4 linked regions of the Kluyveromyces lactis genome follow. The protein of the gene in region 1 binds, or shares a complex with, the protein of each later gene. Links are inferred from orthologs where the notes say so. Each region holds a gene or a part of one and is shown in the gene's direction. Other genes may lie near its edges.

The links.
Region 2: the proteins of VID28 (region 1) and GID8 are in contact, whole or in part, in a cryo-EM structure (PDB 7NS3), measured with the Saccharomyces cerevisiae proteins. The link is inferred for Kluyveromyces lactis from reciprocal best matches to the Saccharomyces cerevisiae genes VID28 and GID8. Residues at the interface, in NP_012247.3 of Saccharomyces cerevisiae: Asn15, Leu17, Val18, Gly19, Asp20, Gln21, Leu22, Lys24, Asp56, Tyr59, Thr60, His63, Gln68, Phe77, Asp78, Ser81, Lys106, Ala112, Tyr115, Pro116, Asn117, Cys118, Gly119, Phe120, Leu123, Ser141, Cys143, Lys144, Ile145, Val148; in NP_013854.1 of Saccharomyces cerevisiae: Glu151, Asn154, Leu159, Glu160, Leu162, Glu163, His194, Asn232, Ile236, Lys237, His299, Pro300, Arg301, Gln303, Phe304, Ser307, Asn308, Lys322, Ile323, Ile324, Phe328, Thr329, Val330, Tyr331, Asn332, Asn334, Leu335, Val336, Asn337, Gly338.
Region 3: the proteins of VID28 (region 1) and FYV10 are in contact, whole or in part, in a cryo-EM structure (PDB 7NS3), measured with the Saccharomyces cerevisiae proteins. The link is inferred for Kluyveromyces lactis from reciprocal best matches to the Saccharomyces cerevisiae genes VID28 and FYV10. Residues at the interface, in NP_012247.3 of Saccharomyces cerevisiae: Asp70, Ile71, Val72, Gly73, Thr74, Tyr75, Phe77, Asp78, Leu445, Asp448, Phe449, Ile456, Thr459, Thr460, Ser463, His464, Leu468, Pro469, Pro470, Ile471, Tyr472, Phe528; in NP_012169.1 of Saccharomyces cerevisiae: Lys305, Ile308, Phe309, His311, Phe312, Phe313, His314, Lys315, Leu317, Pro318, Arg319, Ile320, Thr321, Ser322.
Region 4: the proteins of VID28 (region 1) and GID12 are in contact, whole or in part, in a cryo-EM structure (PDB 7WUG), measured with the Saccharomyces cerevisiae proteins. The link is inferred for Kluyveromyces lactis from reciprocal best matches to the Saccharomyces cerevisiae genes VID28 and GID12. Residues at the interface, in NP_012247.3 of Saccharomyces cerevisiae: Gln786, Tyr787, Ala788, Gly854, Glu856, Phe857, Val858, Arg859, Thr860, Ala863; in NP_010105.1 of Saccharomyces cerevisiae: Arg24, Phe26, Arg32, Leu33, Leu35, Glu640, Ile641, Lys658, Leu659, Cys660, Asp661, Ser662, Leu663, Lys664, Leu665, Asn666, Arg667, Arg670.

The regions. Positions count from the first base shown.
Region 1 is NC_006040.1:1,338,201-1,343,328, forward strand, and holds VID28 (glucose-induced degradation complex subunit VID28), read left to right. Parts: upstream 1-1,940; coding exon 1,941-4,784; downstream 4,785-5,128. Other genes in the region: aspartyl protease BAR1, read right to left, coding at 1-62; SNL1 (Snl1p), read right to left, coding at 806-1,432; MET10 (sulfite reductase subunit alpha), read left to right, coding at 5,115-5,128. UniProt on the Saccharomyces cerevisiae protein: Component of the GID E3 ligase complex recruiting N termini and catalyzing ubiquitination of proteins targeted for degradation.
Region 2 is NC_006042.1:1,569,648-1,573,324, forward strand, and holds GID8 (glucose-induced degradation complex subunit GID8), read left to right. Parts: upstream 1-1,642; coding exon 1,643-2,704; downstream 2,705-3,677. Other genes in the region: GAT2 (Gat2p), read right to left, coding at 1-720; ERG29 (Erg29p), read right to left, coding at 2,794-3,516. UniProt on the Saccharomyces cerevisiae protein: Component of the GID E3 ligase complex recruiting N termini and catalyzing ubiquitination of proteins targeted for degradation.
Region 3 is NC_006041.1:764,223-768,442, reverse strand, and holds FYV10 (glucose-induced degradation complex subunit FYV10), read left to right. Parts: upstream 1-2,038; coding exon 2,039-3,445; downstream 3,446-4,220. Other genes in the region: AVT7 (Avt7p), read left to right, coding at 183-1,565; BMT5 (25S rRNA (uracil2634-N3)-methyltransferase), read right to left, coding at 3,470-4,220. UniProt on the Saccharomyces cerevisiae protein: Component of the GID E3 ligase complex recruiting N termini and catalyzing ubiquitination of proteins targeted for degradation.
Region 4 is NC_006042.1:560,249-565,130, forward strand, and holds GID12 (Gid12p), read left to right. Parts: upstream 1-2,010; coding exon 2,011-4,041; downstream 4,042-4,882. Other genes in the region: KLLA0_F05775g (aldo-keto reductase superfamily protein), read left to right, coding at 22-951; KLLA0_F05797g (uncharacterized protein), read right to left, coding at 1,145-1,666; SNA4 (Sna4p), read right to left, coding at 4,205-4,618. UniProt on the Saccharomyces cerevisiae protein: Regulator of the GID E3 ligase complex. Modulates both assembly of the substrate receptor GID4 into the GID E3 ligase complex and its activity toward its substrates.

The DNA.
Region 1 (5,128 bases):
ATTTGACGACAGTTTATTAAAGATGTCAGTAAACATAGAATTGTGAGAGAAGGTAAAATCATGGTGTATTTCGTTGATACCTACCAACTATGTAATATGAATTGGGAATAAGAAGATGACGATATCATTCAACTATCTGAGCCAATTAGTACTTTTATATATGTTTTACTTTATTAATGGCCGTCTTGAAGATGTCACTGTGTAATTGCCTATTTGAGAAATTAAGTCGTCATAACCAAACTGAAGATCTTTACGGTTAAACTTAAGTGTGAATATCTATCAAGTACTGCTCATAGTTCCAAGAACTATTTTGCGAATAACCTTCCACGGTTAGTTTCAATTTCTGTCATACAAATTACCTGATTTGGTTACCACAATAAGTATTACAACATACAACAGAAATGAAGAACGACTTGAGAACCCTGTACCTATCATCATCGTGGCATATGAGATGCTGCCTATTAAGAATGCAGGAACTGCAGGAACTGAAACTAGCTGTTAAGTATGTCCTCTATCCTCTTGTAGTGTTTTGTCGTTTGTGGAATGAACTCGGGTGACCTGGTCTATTGAGAGGTCTAGCCATTAGTACAATATATTGCTCGCTCCAATTCCCCTCAGTAAATTCCCGTAAATGTTTAGATTGAATTGAATCATTCATTAAGATTAGTATACACGGTTACTTAAACCACCGACACTATACGGGTTGCTTTGTTCGTTGTTTTTTGAGATCATTATTCTCTTGCTCTGGCTGTGTCTCAGTATTTGGCAAAACTCCACCAATCAATCTATTGTTTGCTATCAATCATTACAGCTTATCCAACTTCTTCAATTCTAATTGGATCTTTTTAATAGCAGCCTTTCTTTGCAAACGCACCTGTTCCTTCTTTTCACCTTCCAAGTTACCGAGATGAACACCATCTAAATCCAATAGAAGGTGTAAAAGCATTTCATTGTAGAAATTACGTTGGTACTGCATGGTTTCAGACGTAGAATCGTAATTTTCCAACAACTTATGCAAGCCTTCTTCGTATTCGTTGGTAAATTTATCGAGAACGTATTTGATGGTTTCTTCTTCAGACATGTTCTTCAACTTCTCCTTCTCAATCTCTTTTTGGCTCTTCTTAGCAGCATGTTTTCCCTTCTTAGACTTTCTAGACTTCTTCCCACGAGGTTTTTTGGTCGTACCACTAGAGATCCATAGCACTAATGCTGTCACTATCATTATACCGGACACTCTAACTGTCATTGATTGGTAGGCATCTTCCAGAGAATGTATTCTTCTCAAATCAACCAAGCACGCATGTGCGTATTCTTGTAATTTATCCATGGCCACTGGGAAACTATCTACCAATTGATGAGATACCACAGAGTCCTGTCTGACTTCGCAGCTTTGTCTTGTCAAGTTGCTTGATCTCGTGAAACTTTTCATCATATGTTGATAATATCAACAATATATATCTCTGCGTGAAACAGTGCTAGTTAGAAATCTCGAATGCAATAACACTGAGGTGTATCACCAGAAGGTTAAGGATACCAAATAGACATGTGAAACTGCTTACTGATAGTCATGGAACTTCAAACTGGACGTAGTGTACCCATTCCAGTATTTATGCATGTTCGTTTATCGTATCACGTGCAATAAACGTGACCGTAAGCAAATAACCTCCTATCTCTCCTCATAGTCGTAGCAAAATACGTAAATACACATATCAATCGCTTACCTAGTACCATCCGTCTATCCTAACACCCCCGACTAGTGAGATCGCACCATAAGTTGTATCCTTTCTGCCTTTATTTGTAGTTTTGCCCAAGAACGCTATTCCATCATATATCTACATTCACGGTTAAGGGATTTGACATAGTTCGAACCTGTGAAAGAGTGAATAAGGGTGTCTTCAAAAGACAACCGCGCGGTGGCCAGAGTGCAAAATAAGACAACAATGGTTACTCAGCAACGTCAGAGAGTCACGAAGCAGGTGCTTTTGGAGCTTCGCAAGGGCCTCATCGGTGACCAAAGTGCCAAATTCAACTTCTACAAAGATCACAGGGACTTGTTTGATGCTATCATAGACTACAAACACTATCTTTCCTTAAAATTGGATGTCTTATTGATTCTATCTCACTTAGACAAGGGCAGCTGCAGGGAGCTTGGAAAATATGGAACGGAGATCTTTGTTAGGGTATTAGAGATGCAGATTCCAAATGACTCCATGATTGAGGATATTGCTAAGTATGTCAAGCTAAGGAGAATCTGTGTAGAGAACTGCACGGAGGCGGAAACAAATGAGCAGTTCTTCTTCCAAGAATTCTATTATGTGGAACCTTTGAGTTTCTTTAAGCTTGCAGCTGAGCGTCTCATACGGACCGATGAATCTATATACAGAGAAATCGTATTGGAATATATGACATACTTATCCACATTGCCATTTGTAATGACAAGTCAGGACCTAGTGCTGATTTTGAGGGATGTGTTTAATTTCTATGTGGATAAATATGTGCCCAAAGTCAATTTCAAATACGCTATGGTTACTTCAGCCAAGGAGTCATATGACATGGACTATGATGTGTTCTACGATCCTAACAACACCGGTGCGCAGCTCATGAATAAGAGCAGGGGCTCAGCGGGAAGTGAACAAAAGATTCAACCATTTGAATCCCTACCGCAATGCTTGCATATTAGCGACCTTTTTGACGTTCAATTGATTTTTGTGATATCAAACTTGTTAACAGTATTGCAATCGAATGGTGGAAACCAGTTCTCTTTCTTGGCGGATATGAAGGTCAATGTGTTCTATGCTTCATTATTAAGACACCCTGATATAAGATTGAAAACGTCGGCTTTATCATTCTTCTATTGTCAACTTGGAGATTCTTGGTACTCGGAAAATAGAAGTGATTTCGGCTCAAATACGGATAGCAACTTGCCCTTCCCGATAAAACTATGGTTACCTACTCTCATATCGACTTTGAATGAACCTGAGCTACCAATATTTTTCTCCCCTTTAGAAATCCTTTGTTCTCTAGCAACAGAGTTCACTGTCGCACATAAACCGGAAAATGTTGTGATTGACACATTTTTCGATTCGAATCTATTGAATGGTATGATAGACACTTTTTTAAGACTATTGAGCCTGGAGAAACAAGACACCAACAAACTTCAACTGCTTTCTGATTATCTAAAGTTCTTTTCTGAAATTATAGGTAAGGATGAAAGGTGTAGGCTATTGTTTTTGGAGAACATCGCGGTTTTACAATATATGGAGAACGCATTCAGTTCACACTTGCTAATCTTGAACAATTTCCGTGAGGATTGGACACAATTGAGGAACATGGCACCCTTACCACCGCTTTTTGATTCTGAATTAGTTACTAATTGGGCAAAGTGCTTGAAGGCTTGCTCCAGAAGTGTGGGAGTTTTAAGGACATCGTTGAAGAGAAATAAGCTAGCAGATTATACTCTAAAATTAGCAAGAGAGATTTATGAAATCGTTTCAATGACGTATGATGGTGGAATTCCGCACCTCTTATGCCAAGAGCTAATATTACTAGGCGAATTGTTAGGAGCAATGTCAAACTTTGTTGTCGAATTTTCTTCTTTAAGAACGCTCATGAAAAAGAACGGAATCATTGCATTGATTAAACACATTTTTACCAACCCTATATTCAACTCTGAGTATTTAGATCGTGCCCTGATGCCAGAATTTGCAAAGGGGAATCCGATTATAGTATTCCATAACGAGGCAAGCGTCTATTCCGAAATTACGGTCATCCAGACGAACTCCCTTTGGGTCTTGAGGCATTTGATATACAATTCAGAGACATGCGACAAACTAGAATTGTTATCTCAGATTGACTTAGAATCAATCCTACAATTTGTGCATTCCGCTGAGCCCAGCGTACTAAATCAATGTTTCCAATTGTTGAGAAATTTGACATGTAATTCGAGGAAGGTGATCAACATGATATTAGATTCCTTCAAACATACAGATATGCTCGCGAACACAAATAACGGCAGTGGAGAAGTCAGTGGAAGAGATGAATCATGTACTCAGGGAAACCAGTTCCTAAGGTTTTTAGCTTTGAAATTGAAAACTGTATTGCATGATGACAGTTATTACAGTGACAATAAGATCGCTGAAGCACTACTCTATATAGTGGTCAATTTCACCGCTATAAATGAAAACAAGAGAAACCTGGTTATTTCCCAGGATGAACTACTAGATATCGTGAAAGAATATATCTTAATGGCCAAGGGAGATGAAATTACTAAAGCGTGTCTTTGGATAATCACGAATCTAATATGGGACTCCTCCATCCAGCACGTCCCTTACAATAATTCTCTACCAGAAAACGGAAACCCGCACTTCGACACGGACTGGGCCCTTCAAGAAGGTAGCAGCTCAGCTCTCGAAGACAGAAACGATGATCCTCTCGTTAGAATGCCATTAAATGCACGAGCATCAAACATGTCTTCAGAAGAAGAAGAAGTCCCAGAACAAGAAGAGCGAGAAGGTGATTTCGACGAAGAGGAGCAAAGTAATGACGAAGAAGAGGACTCAACTGATCCTCATAAAGATTTCATCCGCCCAGCAACTACCACTGGAAACATTTCGGCTTTAAGTCCAGCAATCATAAGGTTCAAAAAGCTCGATAAGCTAGGTTTCAATGACGCAGTAAAGAAAATCTTGGATTGGAACGGCGATTTAGACGTAAAGGAACGTGCTAAGACCCTACTATACCAAATGGAAACGTTCAGGAAGACCACTATTCCACCACATGCATGAGCCACTTCCGCCTGTTCAGGTGATTTGATGAAGCAAAATCACGTGACAATATCCCACAATTGTGGCTCTATGATTCAAATGACGAAAAAGAAATCGAACTAAGCGAAACTCTCGAAGCTTAGTGAGCGTGCACCTGAGAGAGCTTCACAGGACCGGGGCAAGTCTTCTATAGGAAAAAGCTTTTTCCAGCGATGTAACATTCAGTATTTACGTTAGAACTATATAAAGGTAGAAAGTGTTTTTGTGTGTTACTGCATCGATAAGTTTTTAATGGTAGGATAGTTTGTTCTAGCTAAAGGCAGCATCAATCACATTGACAACGCAAACGCAATGTCTTTATCATA
Region 2 (3,677 bases), on another chromosome or scaffold:
GTTGGTAGCTGCGGTTGGGATTTCTACTTCAGATTTTCTTACTGTGACGTTGAAAACATTTTTACTCCTGGGTCTCATTGGGAATTGAAACTCTGTCATTGGCTTTTGTAGCTCGTTTCTAAGCTGATTAATACTAGGGAGTTGCGGTTTTTTCCTGTTCCAATCGTTCATGTTCTTCAACTCTAACAACCTATTCGTAACCTTTAACATAGATCTTGTTTCGTTGGAAAGTTGGGTGAGATCATTGACCAAAACATCCTTAATCTTCTGGGAACTCCATGTCAGCAAATGAAATGTCAACTGTTCATTGTACTCTGATAGTCTTTTCAAAATCCGTTTGAATTCTTCTTGATTCATATCCTGGTCGATCGCAGTGTCAGCCAAAAAATCAAGGGATCCACTTCTATAGTGACCACCGTAATGGTAGTCCCTTTGACGAGGACTAATTTGCGGTGACGAATTTGACGACGAAAGAAAATTTCCTGTCGTTGAAACGGTAATGTTTGTTTGTGACGTCTTGTTTGTCCGAATACTCGAATCGTTCTGCCTGTCGTAGTTCAATAGATTTGGGATGGAAGCAACACTATGGTAGCTGACACTTTGGGATAATGATTGAGGTGTTCTCGATGTAGGAGTTGCAGATGATGAAATAGAACCAGATTTGGGACTTTGGGACCCCTTTTGTGCCAGCGACGCTGTCATAGTTTCCATGAATGTCATAATAACAATTATACTGACTAGCCGTATGTCTATTTATGTGTATGTGTGATAAGCAATGTTGAACGAATATATTATTCAAAATGATATCGACTGTGTCTTGGCAAAAAAATTTGGTTTGGCTCTGTGGTTCTATTTTGTTATTTCAATTGAATGATAATGAGATTGCAATCTAACGAGTTACCTCTCTGTTAGTTTCGAATCTACTCTTGGCCTTAAATACCTGGCTTATTTGATGTTCGAAGAACTCGGAAAAGTACGCATATATTTATATCATTTCATTTTTGTATAGATCATTTCAGTTCCTTAATTTGATTTGACACTTTTTTGTCATCAGAATCTAAGTAAGTTTCAATTTAGAATATAGAAACGGCTTGGATTGCCTCCTCCATTTCATTATTGATCCTAAACCAATGAATATTGAAACTGTAAAGTTTTTAAATCTGTGTTATGCCCTCGATATGTCTACTGTTTTGTATATTACTACGTAAAATGTCGACTATAGCTGCTATGAGTGACATCTCATGAATCGTTTCCCTCTACTTGAAAGATACAAAAAAAAGAGTCCAGATTCAAGAAGATTTAAATTGAGAAGTTTCTCGATTACTGTTATCTGAAGCTACAAACCACGATTTGATATCTACATGAACTCCTTTTCTTTTCAGAATTGATCTGTCCCATTTCCTCGTCGTCAGAGGCCTGTTCCCTTATTTATTCACAAAGGTTTTTCACGAAATGAACCTTAACATCACTTAGTAAAGAAACTGGGCATTATCAACAGAAAAACAAAAAAATGAGCACCTAATTGTAAGTTGAAAGTGAGACTTCCTTAGCCCCTAATATTGAAAGAAAGAGTGGTACTATACTATTTGCGCTAAGCATAAGCCAATCTAGTTTTCCCTAGACTTATTGCTTCATACAAACGATGACCAATTTTAAATCTACCTATGAGAAGAAATCTTTCACTAGAGAACAATGGATGAAAGTGGTGCAGGACGCCAATCCCTATGATCGCAGCAACAGTGAGTTGTCGAATAATGAGCCGGTAATACCAATGTTATTATTGAACTATTTTGTGGTGATGGCATATGAGGAATCTAGTATCCGCATGGCTAAGGAGCTTGGGTTTTTGAATTCCAACAAAGACATTGAAGAATTCAACTCTGTATATATGATTAAGAAAAGGGCATACATCAAGGAACTTATCAAGAAGGGTGAAATTTTACTAGCTATGGAAAAGATTACCGAGGTATTTGGAATAGAGGTACTCGAAAGTTTGAATGACCATATTACAGATGAAGATTTGAACTTCAAGCTATTGTTGTTGAACCTTATTGAAATGATTCGTTCCCACAACGCCAAGGGCGACCCTAACGATCAGGAGCAGTTTATATTAGAGCTTATCTCTTATGCTCAGGATAAACTTGCTTTGAAAGCAAGCTCCAAAAAAGAGTATATGAAGGAAGTCGAATTAGTTATGACCCTTCTTCTCTTCCCGTTATCGGATGAGGATGGTTCGAGTCCTTCTGCTAAGTTACCAAAGAAGTTGAAACAGCTATATTCCTTAAATATGAGAACTAAAGTAGCTGATCTAGTGAACAGAAAGCTTTTGCAATCGATATTACCGAGGATAAACTCTCAACTCGAAAAATCTGGTTTACCTGACATCTTAGGATCCAGCTTCCAATCAAATCGAGTTCCCACTCTAACAAACGTTATACGATCCATTCCAAGGGAATCTATCACGACAGAAAGGCTTACCGGAGAGCTAGCACATATTGAAGAAAAGCAGGGAAGTTCTATGAGCACCAATTCCGACATGAGTCGCATACAAGGTGAAATCTTTGAAGAGTTAGGTGAGAACTTGCATTCTTATTATATCCCTAACGACGTTAGATTGGTACAAATCATGAAACTTTGGGTTTGGTGTGAAAACCAATTGCATAGTTCGGATGTTGGTGTTCCGAGGGTTGAAGGAGTGATTTAGTGCAAAATCTATAATCTTTTATACTATATATGCATGGGTTCCCTATATTCACATTATGTTTTCAAGCATTTAACGGCAGCTTGCAATTTTCACACCAAAAACTCACAGTCTATAGTGTCACCAGTTTCCATCTTTAAGAAACACAATTGAATATCGTCGAGGTTTTTTGGAAGTTCCTCGCTCATGGTGTTGTAGATTTTTACATTTTTGGTAATGGTGAAGGTTTTGCTTGGCTGTTTGAACTGATCATAAAAGTGACCATCTTTAAAGAAGTGATAAAGTTTTGATTTTAATAGCCTTAATGTACAACCAAACTCTGGTCTTTTTTCATTTTCGAATTCTTCTGGTGAGAATTCAATGTGGAATGTGATTGGATTATCCAACAGAAGCTTTTTGGTATCTTCGTCGATAACTTGGCATCTAACGTATATGTGAGCGACATGCACAGGTTTGGCAAAGAACTTTTCCCTCGATTCGAACTCCTCGATTATGAGACCGGATTTTTCATCAAACCATTCTGTGGCATGGTACGAATCGTCATGTATGAATCGATGGTTTCTAATAAAATCTTCGTCCAATTTAGTGCTGTTCAATTGTTCCCATGTATCCATTTGTAAGGCACTCATTTGAATTGTTATGTAGAGTTCATTCACAAGAGCAAATCCTCCCATCACCACAAGAAAAAGTGTTATTCGGGCACTTAGCGGGTCATCAGTGTATTGTTTAAGAAAGTTTACTTTTCTGATCCAAGCGATCATAATGCTTTCCAATTGCAAATAGTGACGCAGCACCGTCGCGCGTAATTCCTCCATATTGGCCTTTTCAGGTCTTATAAAGTTATATTAGTTTGCAGGTCACCTTTATTAGCTCGCACTAGTCCACTTCAAGTGATTTCTATATCTTTACGTTTTATTGCATTTGAAGGTGTGTAGTTTCTTCTAAGTTTATCGATTTACAAAGCTTGTTTTTCATG
Region 3 (4,220 bases), on another chromosome or scaffold:
TGGAGCCTGTGATTGATAAATTCATTTGCTTACAGAGTTGATTCACAGTCACTTCAAACCTGTAACTGCTGTTCGGGTTTCTTCTAGACTGGTGAGAACTATCATATCATAATTTAGGTTTTGTTCTCTCACACTTTGAATACAAAAATAATAAGTAGTTGTTGATATACCTTAAAAGAGCTATGTCAGCAACTGGAACTGTTGCATCATCTACTATAAACCTTATAAAGACTATTGTCGGCGCAGGCCTATTAGCTATTCCATATGCTTTCCGTTGTGATGGGGTTTTTTTTGCTGTTAGTTTGATACTGATGGCTGCATTCACATCAGGGTACGGCTTATTTATCCTAGCAAAATGCTCAAAGACATTGTTAAATCCACGTCACTCTTCTTTTTTCACTTTATGTTCTATTACATATCCTAATCTGTCTTTGCTGTTTGATTTTGCTATGTTCATACAATGTTTTGGGGTTGCTCTTTCTTATTTGATCTTAATTGGTGACTTATTCCCAGCGTTATTTGGCGGCACGAGGACAAACTGGATATTGTTGTCAGCAATCATTATCGTTCCGTTATCTTTATTAAGACATTTTGATAGCTTGAAATATACTAGTGTTATTGGTCTGTTGGCATTGGGTTACATTGGTTTATTGATTATTGGAAGCTATTCCTTCGGAAATTACCCAAAACCCAAAGTTGATTGGTTCTCTATATCGGATAGATCTGGAGTCTTGACGACATTTAGTATTATTGTATTTGCATTTACTGGTTCAATGAATCTATTTTCGATAATAAATGAATTGAAGGAAAATTCAATGACAAATATCAAAAAGATCATAAACAATTCCATCGTAGTATCATCCGCCTGTTTCATAATCTTGGGGCTGTTCGGATATTTGACTTTCGGAAAAGAAACTCTGGGAAATGTCATACTAAACTATGATGCTGATAAGCTCTCTGTCAGATTTGCTAGGTTCAATCTTGGCCTGATGGTTGTTTTGTCATTTCCCTTGTTGTTCCATCCTTGCCGTATATCGGCGAACAATATGGTCCATTGGTTACAATTGAACTATGGAACAAAGTCTGAAATAGATGAAACGATAGGGCCTATTACCCTGGAAATTGAGGATGATACTGATAGAGAATACCTCGAACAAGAGCTAGGCTCCTCCCATGACACTTCATTTGTCCACACGTACCAATCACTACCGAGGGCAACCGACGATGATAATGATGATCAGGTTGATGAACGCACTGAAGCAGTCCCATTCCCTGATTCCAGATTTTTGACTGTCACTTTCTTCTTACTTGCTGTACTATACGTTCTAGCGCTAAACGTTGAGTCATTCGCTTTAGTTCTTGCACTTGTTGGTGCAACTGGTTCTACAGCCATTTCATTCACGTTGCCAGGATTATTTGGGTGGAAGTTAATTGGTACTGAATCTTTGATGAACGGTGAGAGAATCGGAGGATGGGATAAAGCTCACAGATATGGAAGTCTGGCATTAGTCTGGTACGGTCTTATTATTATGGTAAGTTGTGTGTATATCACACTTTTTGTATGACCAGTTCAGCATCTCGCAGTTAAATCATTCAATGGTTCCAATCATTCTTTCTTGGCTAGATTATGAGCAAGGAGCTTTCTAAATAAAATTATTAAAATGTAATATATTCTGTCCTCGTCTGTTTGATGCTTTCTGGGTCTTAAACTTTAGGCGCAACACTTAGCCATTGGTATTTATCTTTTCACTAACAGTGTATAAACAAACGTCTGTAATGTTTCGCCTGATATTCCTACCCTCCAGTTGGTACTGCATCAACTCGACTTTAGCAATTTTTTTTTTCCAGCGTACCGGTTGATGTATTTCATTCATGGTAACTATATCTTTGTATTTCTGCATCAAATTGCATAAGAAAATTGAAAGGGGTTTTCACAATATACCTTAATCTTTAGGGATGAACCAAATAACTGACAAACTGGATCAATCAGTGTAATACTGGTGACGGTAAATCTACCAAAAAGCCTTTAGATGTCATTATGACTTCGTTAAACGAACCTAATGTCGATTTTCACCTAAAATTAAACCAGCAGCAGTTTAACATTCCTTCCGAATTGTTAAAGCGAAACTGGGATAAATTCAACAACCTATATACAAGCTATTCAGTAGAGCTACAGGGACAATTCGCTACTTTGAACACTTTACTTGAAGATCCAAATAAGGATGAGCAATCAATAGAAAAATTGAATGATATAATCAACACAGTGAACATTTTGCAGAAGAGACTATCGCAACTACATGATAATGAGTTAACAATTTTAGAAAGGATTGAGAAGAGAGTAGAATACTTCAAGCAGTTTGAAAGATTCAAATATGATTCTAACACTGACAAGCTTCTAAAATGGTACAGGTCATACACGGATTTGTTAATTGCCGATTATTTGGTAAGGCATGGTTCGAATTCTATAGATCATAAAAACAAGATTGCATCAAACTCTGGCATAGAGTTTATAAAGACTAGGGGATTAGAGGATTTGATTGATTACGAAGTTCTCATAGAAGCTAATCAGATATCTATGGAACTTATAGAAAATAAAAACCTTCGTCCTCTATTAGAGTGGATTGAAAATAACTCTGCGCACTTGACAGAAAAAGGTTCGCATTTACAGTTCCAAGCGTTATTGCAGGAGTACATTGAATTAGTACGATGTTCCGATTATAAAGCAGCAATCAGGTGCTTCCAAACACACCTTGCCCATTTCGCAAATATATATCCCAAAGAACTAAAACTGGCAGCGGGTATTCTTGCTTTCTTCAAAAGCTGCCTCAACAATGGTCGTGACGACGAAGTAACAAACGAACAAAAGTTGTTTCATGCCTATTTTAGAAAACAAATGTATCGACCACATCCGTTGTCATCAATTTCTTCTAGTAACGTTGTTCACAATGCTGAATTATGTCGATATGGTCCATTATTGGACCACGAGAGATGGGAAAGTTTGAATAAAATGTTCCTACATGAATTTTACTCACTCTACAAAATATCTTACCACGATCCACTATTAATATATATATCCTTAGGAATCTCTTCGTTAAAAACAAAGGATTGTGGTCACACCATTTCCGCGCAACTAATCCCTCATGAAAATCCGGAAGTAAATGAATACATTAAATCTAACGTTGTCAATACAGATTGTCCCGTATGCAATCATGACATATTCCCTCTATCTGAAAACTTACCATTTGCCCATCATATCCAATCGAGTTTATTTGAAAATCCAGTAATGTTGCCAAATGGCAATATTTACGACTCTGAAAAGCTAATATCATTATCTCGAAAACTAAACAAAATGGGGTACACTAAACTTAAAGAAAACCAAGTGATGGACCCTATTGATAAATCAATATATGCTACAACAGACTTTATCAAAATGTATCCTACTTAGATATAATAGAGAATATGTATTTTCTTATTCATCATCGCTGTCGTCTTTCAAAGGTTTTTTGGAATGTTTACGTTTATTGAACATTTCGAAAACGTACATTCTGGCATCTCTTTCCTCAGCTGGTTTGGTAGTATCCATTTCACTATTGGTACGCTTGTGATGATACCCTGGAAACTTGGACCAGTCGAATTTCCCTGATCTATCCACTTTCCAACCGTTATCTTTCGCTAGTATTTTTATTTGCCATGAATCGTATGGTTCGCCACTAAATAGAGAAAGAACCACTTTTCCATAACCTTCATCATCAACTCGAGTTTCATTATTTAGTGAGTATCCACCCATAGAAATGCTTGAGTTTAACATAATCTGGCTACTGTTTACGAGTCTGAACAGCTGCTTACAACTATCAAAGTATTTGTACACCAATTGTTGATGTTCGTGAATATTTCTGCCTTGATCTTTTATTCCACGACCTGTATGTGGAAAATTGAATAAGATGAAATCCAGTTTCTTTGTAGTCCATGAATTCCCCACTACTTTCTGCCATGGAGTCTTTTTCGTGATCTTCAAAGATTTTTTTAAGTTTGTTGCATCGATCCCGAACAGCATGACGACTTCATTCTCTTTAAGGAAATTGTAGTTTTCTTCGAAGCTATGTGGATACTTTAGCTTTAACTCTTTGATTCCACTGTCAAAACTGGTTATAATAAGATTTTCTGGTTGAATGTATTGCTGTTCAATAATGCTCTTCGCGAATGAAAAATCACCCTCACCA
Region 4 (4,882 bases), on another chromosome or scaffold:
ACCAGGCTTATAATTAATATCATGACTACTCAAAAGTTCTTTACTTTGTCTAATGGAAATAAGATTCCTGCAGTTGCTATTGTAGGTACAGGTACTGCTTGGTACAAAAGCGAGGAGACAGATGCCACTTTCTCCCAACCATTGGTTGATATTGTGAAGAAAACATTGGATACTGTCCCAGGTGTTGTGCACATTGATGCTGCAGAGATATACAGAACTTATCCTGAATTGGGTGCCGCTTTGAAGGATACAAAGAAGCCAAGAGATGAAATCTTCATCACTGACAAGTATTCTACTTTGAAACAGCTTTCTGAGAACCCTAAAGTTGCCTTAGAGACATCATTGAAGAAGCTCGGTGTTGATTACGTGGACTTGTATCTATTGCACTCTCCTATAATTAAGGAAAGCAAATTGGATGTCGAGGCTAATTGGAAGTATTTGGAAGAACTATACAAGTCTGGAAAGGCTAAGAACATCGGTGTTTCAAACTTTGCTGTAAAAGATTTGGAGAAATTGCTTGCAGTGGCAGAGGTTAAACCGCAGGTGAACCAAATTGAATTCTCTCCATTCTTGCAAAATCAAACTCCCGGTATTGTTGAATTCAGTCAAAAGAATGGTATTTTACTTGAGGCCTACTCACCATTAGGTCCTTTGCAAAGAAGACCAGAAGATGCTGATAAGCTACCTTTTTACCAATATATCGCTGAATTGTCAAAGAAGTATAACAAGAGTGAGGCTCAAATCTTGTTATCATGGGTCTATGAGCGTGGAATCTTGCCAGTAACTACGTCTTCGAAGATCGAAAGGATCCAACAAGCGCAAGATATCTTTAGTTTTTCTTTGGCTAATGAGGAAGTCCAAAAGATCACTCAATTGGGTTTGCAACATCCAGCTTTGAGATTATACTGGACTGACGTATACTCAAAATACGATTCTGAATCCCAGAAGTGATTATTCCATCTCAGTATGTTATGTCAATGAACACTGGCTCTGAGAGCACACATCTTTTTAATAGGCTTGTTAAACATCTGTTGACTATATTTACAAGTATTGCTTTACGTGATACTATTCCTTTAGGATAATGTCGTATATACATATTTTCGTTTGCAGAATGAGGTTCATATAGGAAACTTTTAAAATATAGTTAAGGCAAGAACTTCCCTTTCTTCAAGCTTTCCACAGCTGTGGTTGAAATATGTCGGAATCTAGCGGGCCCCAATGCTGTCCCACCGTACCATCTTGTAACAACAACTAAAACATTAGCAATATGACTTCTTTCTAACAAGGTTAAAAGTCTTTGTCCTGCACCAGCCTCACCACAGTCATTTGATCCTTGTTGTATATTCTTTAACATTGCCGGCCCTGTCAGTTCACCAGGCACTGTCAATGAACCCCTTTTCCTCTTCTTATTTCCTTTCTTATTGTGCTCGGGGGGTATAATATCTGCCGTTCTCCATGCATACATATGCTTGTGCGTTGCCTTTTGGACGGCCTTATTTTTTTCCACTAATACCTCCAGTAACTTATCAACTTCAGACAGGTTCTTGATAGCATGGCACCTTGCTTGAAACTTGGATTTTCTATCTACCAAAACTTCGGATTCGTTCCACCCTATACCTGTCATGTATCTTCTGGTAATTCTTAGATAACTATAAGATCGTAGCATAAGATGTCGACCTTTACCATAAGTATCAAATCGCCGATGTATATTAATTTCTGTCCACCTGCTTGAATAGATGTGTGACCTCCTCGATTGAGCACGCTCCGCATGTGTTCATGACAGTATTGGGGTCTAGATAACCTTCATAATTTTACGTTGTTGTGTTCTCTGCTGCTTATGAATTTCTATATCGTCTGTCCTTTTATATCGAAGATTTAGCGATGAGGTTTTAGTCTTTCAATTTCACAAAACTCAATAGATGAACGTTATTCAGTCGAACTAAGACGTTTAAGTGAAAACACCCAGAAGGTGGAACGCTATCCTTATAATATCCAGCCAAGATTACCTGAATGCAATCGAATTTCACCTTTTTGGTTTCACAACCATCATGTTCGAAGACAACTCCTTCAGGTTACCGAGCTTTCCAATGTAAAGATGACAGGATCCATCCTTTGAAGGTAAACACCAAAAATCGGGCTGCTGATACCAATAGCATAATACAAAAGTTCTGTTATCTACGACCAAGGAGTATGCCTATTGTACCGACATCAAAATATCTGCACAATCAAGAGCATTCAGACTTTCTTTTGGTTGCAAGGAATAATGGCATAATCGAAATAATAAAGGACTACAATTTTAAGGTAACCAATAACGTTCCTTTACGACCAGATTTTCTACTATTTTGCGTACCAATGACTTCGAGTATAACTACAAATGATACAACCATTGTTGGTTTAGAGTATAAAGATAAGTTTCTATATGTATGTTCTGCGGTTGGTGACATATTTGGGTTCATATTGAACTTACCAGACGATTACGTTCAAGACGAAGAATTTCAAGCATCACCTTCCTATAAACGGTATAGAGATTCTTTCTCTTGGAGATCGGACATAGTACAATCTTCTGACGCAACAGCTGCAGAACGGAGCTTAAAAGAAATCACTCGATTCAGAAAAGAACATAGTTGTGGCCACATTTGTTATTATTGTTATCCTATCAATGAAGACGGATTCTTCCATGAAACGATAAAACAATGGTATCCCGACCCTGTACCGACATTTTCAAATTGTTTTGTTACGTTTTTGAGGACAGATGTTAGCTCATTTCATATCAACCCGATGGACAGATTCAGTGTCATCACCGTGGCACCGCAGACGCCGTTAACAATTCACAAAATACTCTTACCTGAGGTGTATACGACATTCTTCTCAGAATTTGTAAAGCTTAAAGATGAGTACTTCTCCAAAAAGCACAGAAGGGTTTCAGAACCTTCCAGTTTTGATTTTATGTCAAGAGCGGTTCATGGGACAGCTTTTCAAGAATATTTGAAGAGAGATCGTTCAAGCTTTGTCATGGAACAAGATGTTAGGGTATGGAGGGGAATGCTGGTTTGCGATATGGTTTGTGAATTCAAATGCTCCTCCGTTTGGAGGCAAAAACAAGGTAATATGAAAGATGGCTTACATGAATTGTTCTTTTATGACAAAAAACAAGAAGCAAATAATCGCAATGAAAGCGATTCTGTTGCTAGAAATGAAACTGTAGTCGACTTGGAGCTGGATTCCCAATCATTCTCATTACTTGGAGTTTCTACCGAGATATTAGATAATCATACCCAACACCAATCTAATATAACACAAACTGAACGGTTTCTAAAATTCTTGCGGAAACAGACGTTCCCTATAAATTTCCAAGTGGTAAAGACAGTAAGCCTCGACGGTGAAACAAATTCGACAGGGTATGAAGCTGCAACTTCTTTTCTTACAGATACTTACAGAGATATGGATGTTGTTGTTGTGGACAAATTTTTAAGTGTAAACGCTTTTCGTCCTAAATACGTGGACGAGCCTCTGATGAAGTTAGATTCAATACATGACTATCTGGAAGTAAATGAAGAAGACAGAGATGCTCATGTAGCTTTAAATAATCTCTCCTCATTCATCAAGTTTTTCATGCTTACTGATTCCCTTTGCATGATTTGGGATATCAATGGAATATTGTTGGTGGATAGATTTCAGCTAAGAAGTACAAGGAATCTACTACATAACGATGTCGGGGCTGTTAAAGTAATAAACTTCCGTGTAGGAATAGTGAATGATATTGGGTTAGTTTTAAATCAGTTCAAACAAGATGGTTCTGACTATTATATTGAGTTTTATTCCATCTTAACAACGTTAACGGGAGATATCGCACTACTGAGGGGTGAATTCAAAGTTGGCCAACGATTAGGTACTATGAAGATATTAGATAGTTTGAGAACGCAACAATCGGATAACTTTGTTGACCAAATATTGATTACAAACTACTCACTATCCAATAAAAGAGACGCTGGAATGGTAATTCCTGAGGTTTTTAAAATGAATAAAAGATCCAAAACTTAGAAGTCTTTCAACAATGTAAGTCAAAATAATCTATACGTTTACGTGAATAGCAGCTAATATAAACCCTAATTAATATAATGGTAATCCTTGTAGAAGATGTACAACAATCATGAAATAGCAGAAGTAAAAAAAAAATGAGGTGCTGATAATTAACCGCCCCTAATCATACACTTTCTGTGTATGGTGGGGGAGAACCCTTTGGCACATCCTGAGCGTAGTTATTTGGTTCATATCTTAGAGGAATCTGAGTTCTTGGCAATAGAGGATCTTCTACACCAGTGGGTTGATGAGAAACGGTCGTTACCGCAGATGGGCTTCCATATCTTTGTCCGTCATTCCACCCTTGCTCATAATAATAACGTGTTTCGGTATCCGTCCTTAGCGGTGACGTGACGGTAATATAATAAAAAGCATGAATCATTCCAGGGAGGAACCCAAACATAGTTAGCAACACGTTTAATAGTAAGTCACTGGAACATAAACCCGATCTCAATCCCACGGCAATCGGTGGGAATATTATGGCAACAATATAAAGTATCAAATCTGATACAGTACAGCAGATACAGCACAGACACATGTTTCAAAAGCTTTTGATAATACACTGCTGGGAGTATAAGGGAAACCTACGAGGCTCTTCTTCTGTATCCCAATGTTGTGAATTGAGATGATTAATAGGTATGATTCATTGTTCAAATTTTGACAATTATCAACTAAAGAAAACTATGGGAAACGCCATACATATGACAAAAATGATTGAAGCCACATAGACCATTTGTGAATGCTTATACCGAAACAAGTACAGGCTTTTGAAAGCCAGTAGCGAATGTATATCTTGACACCC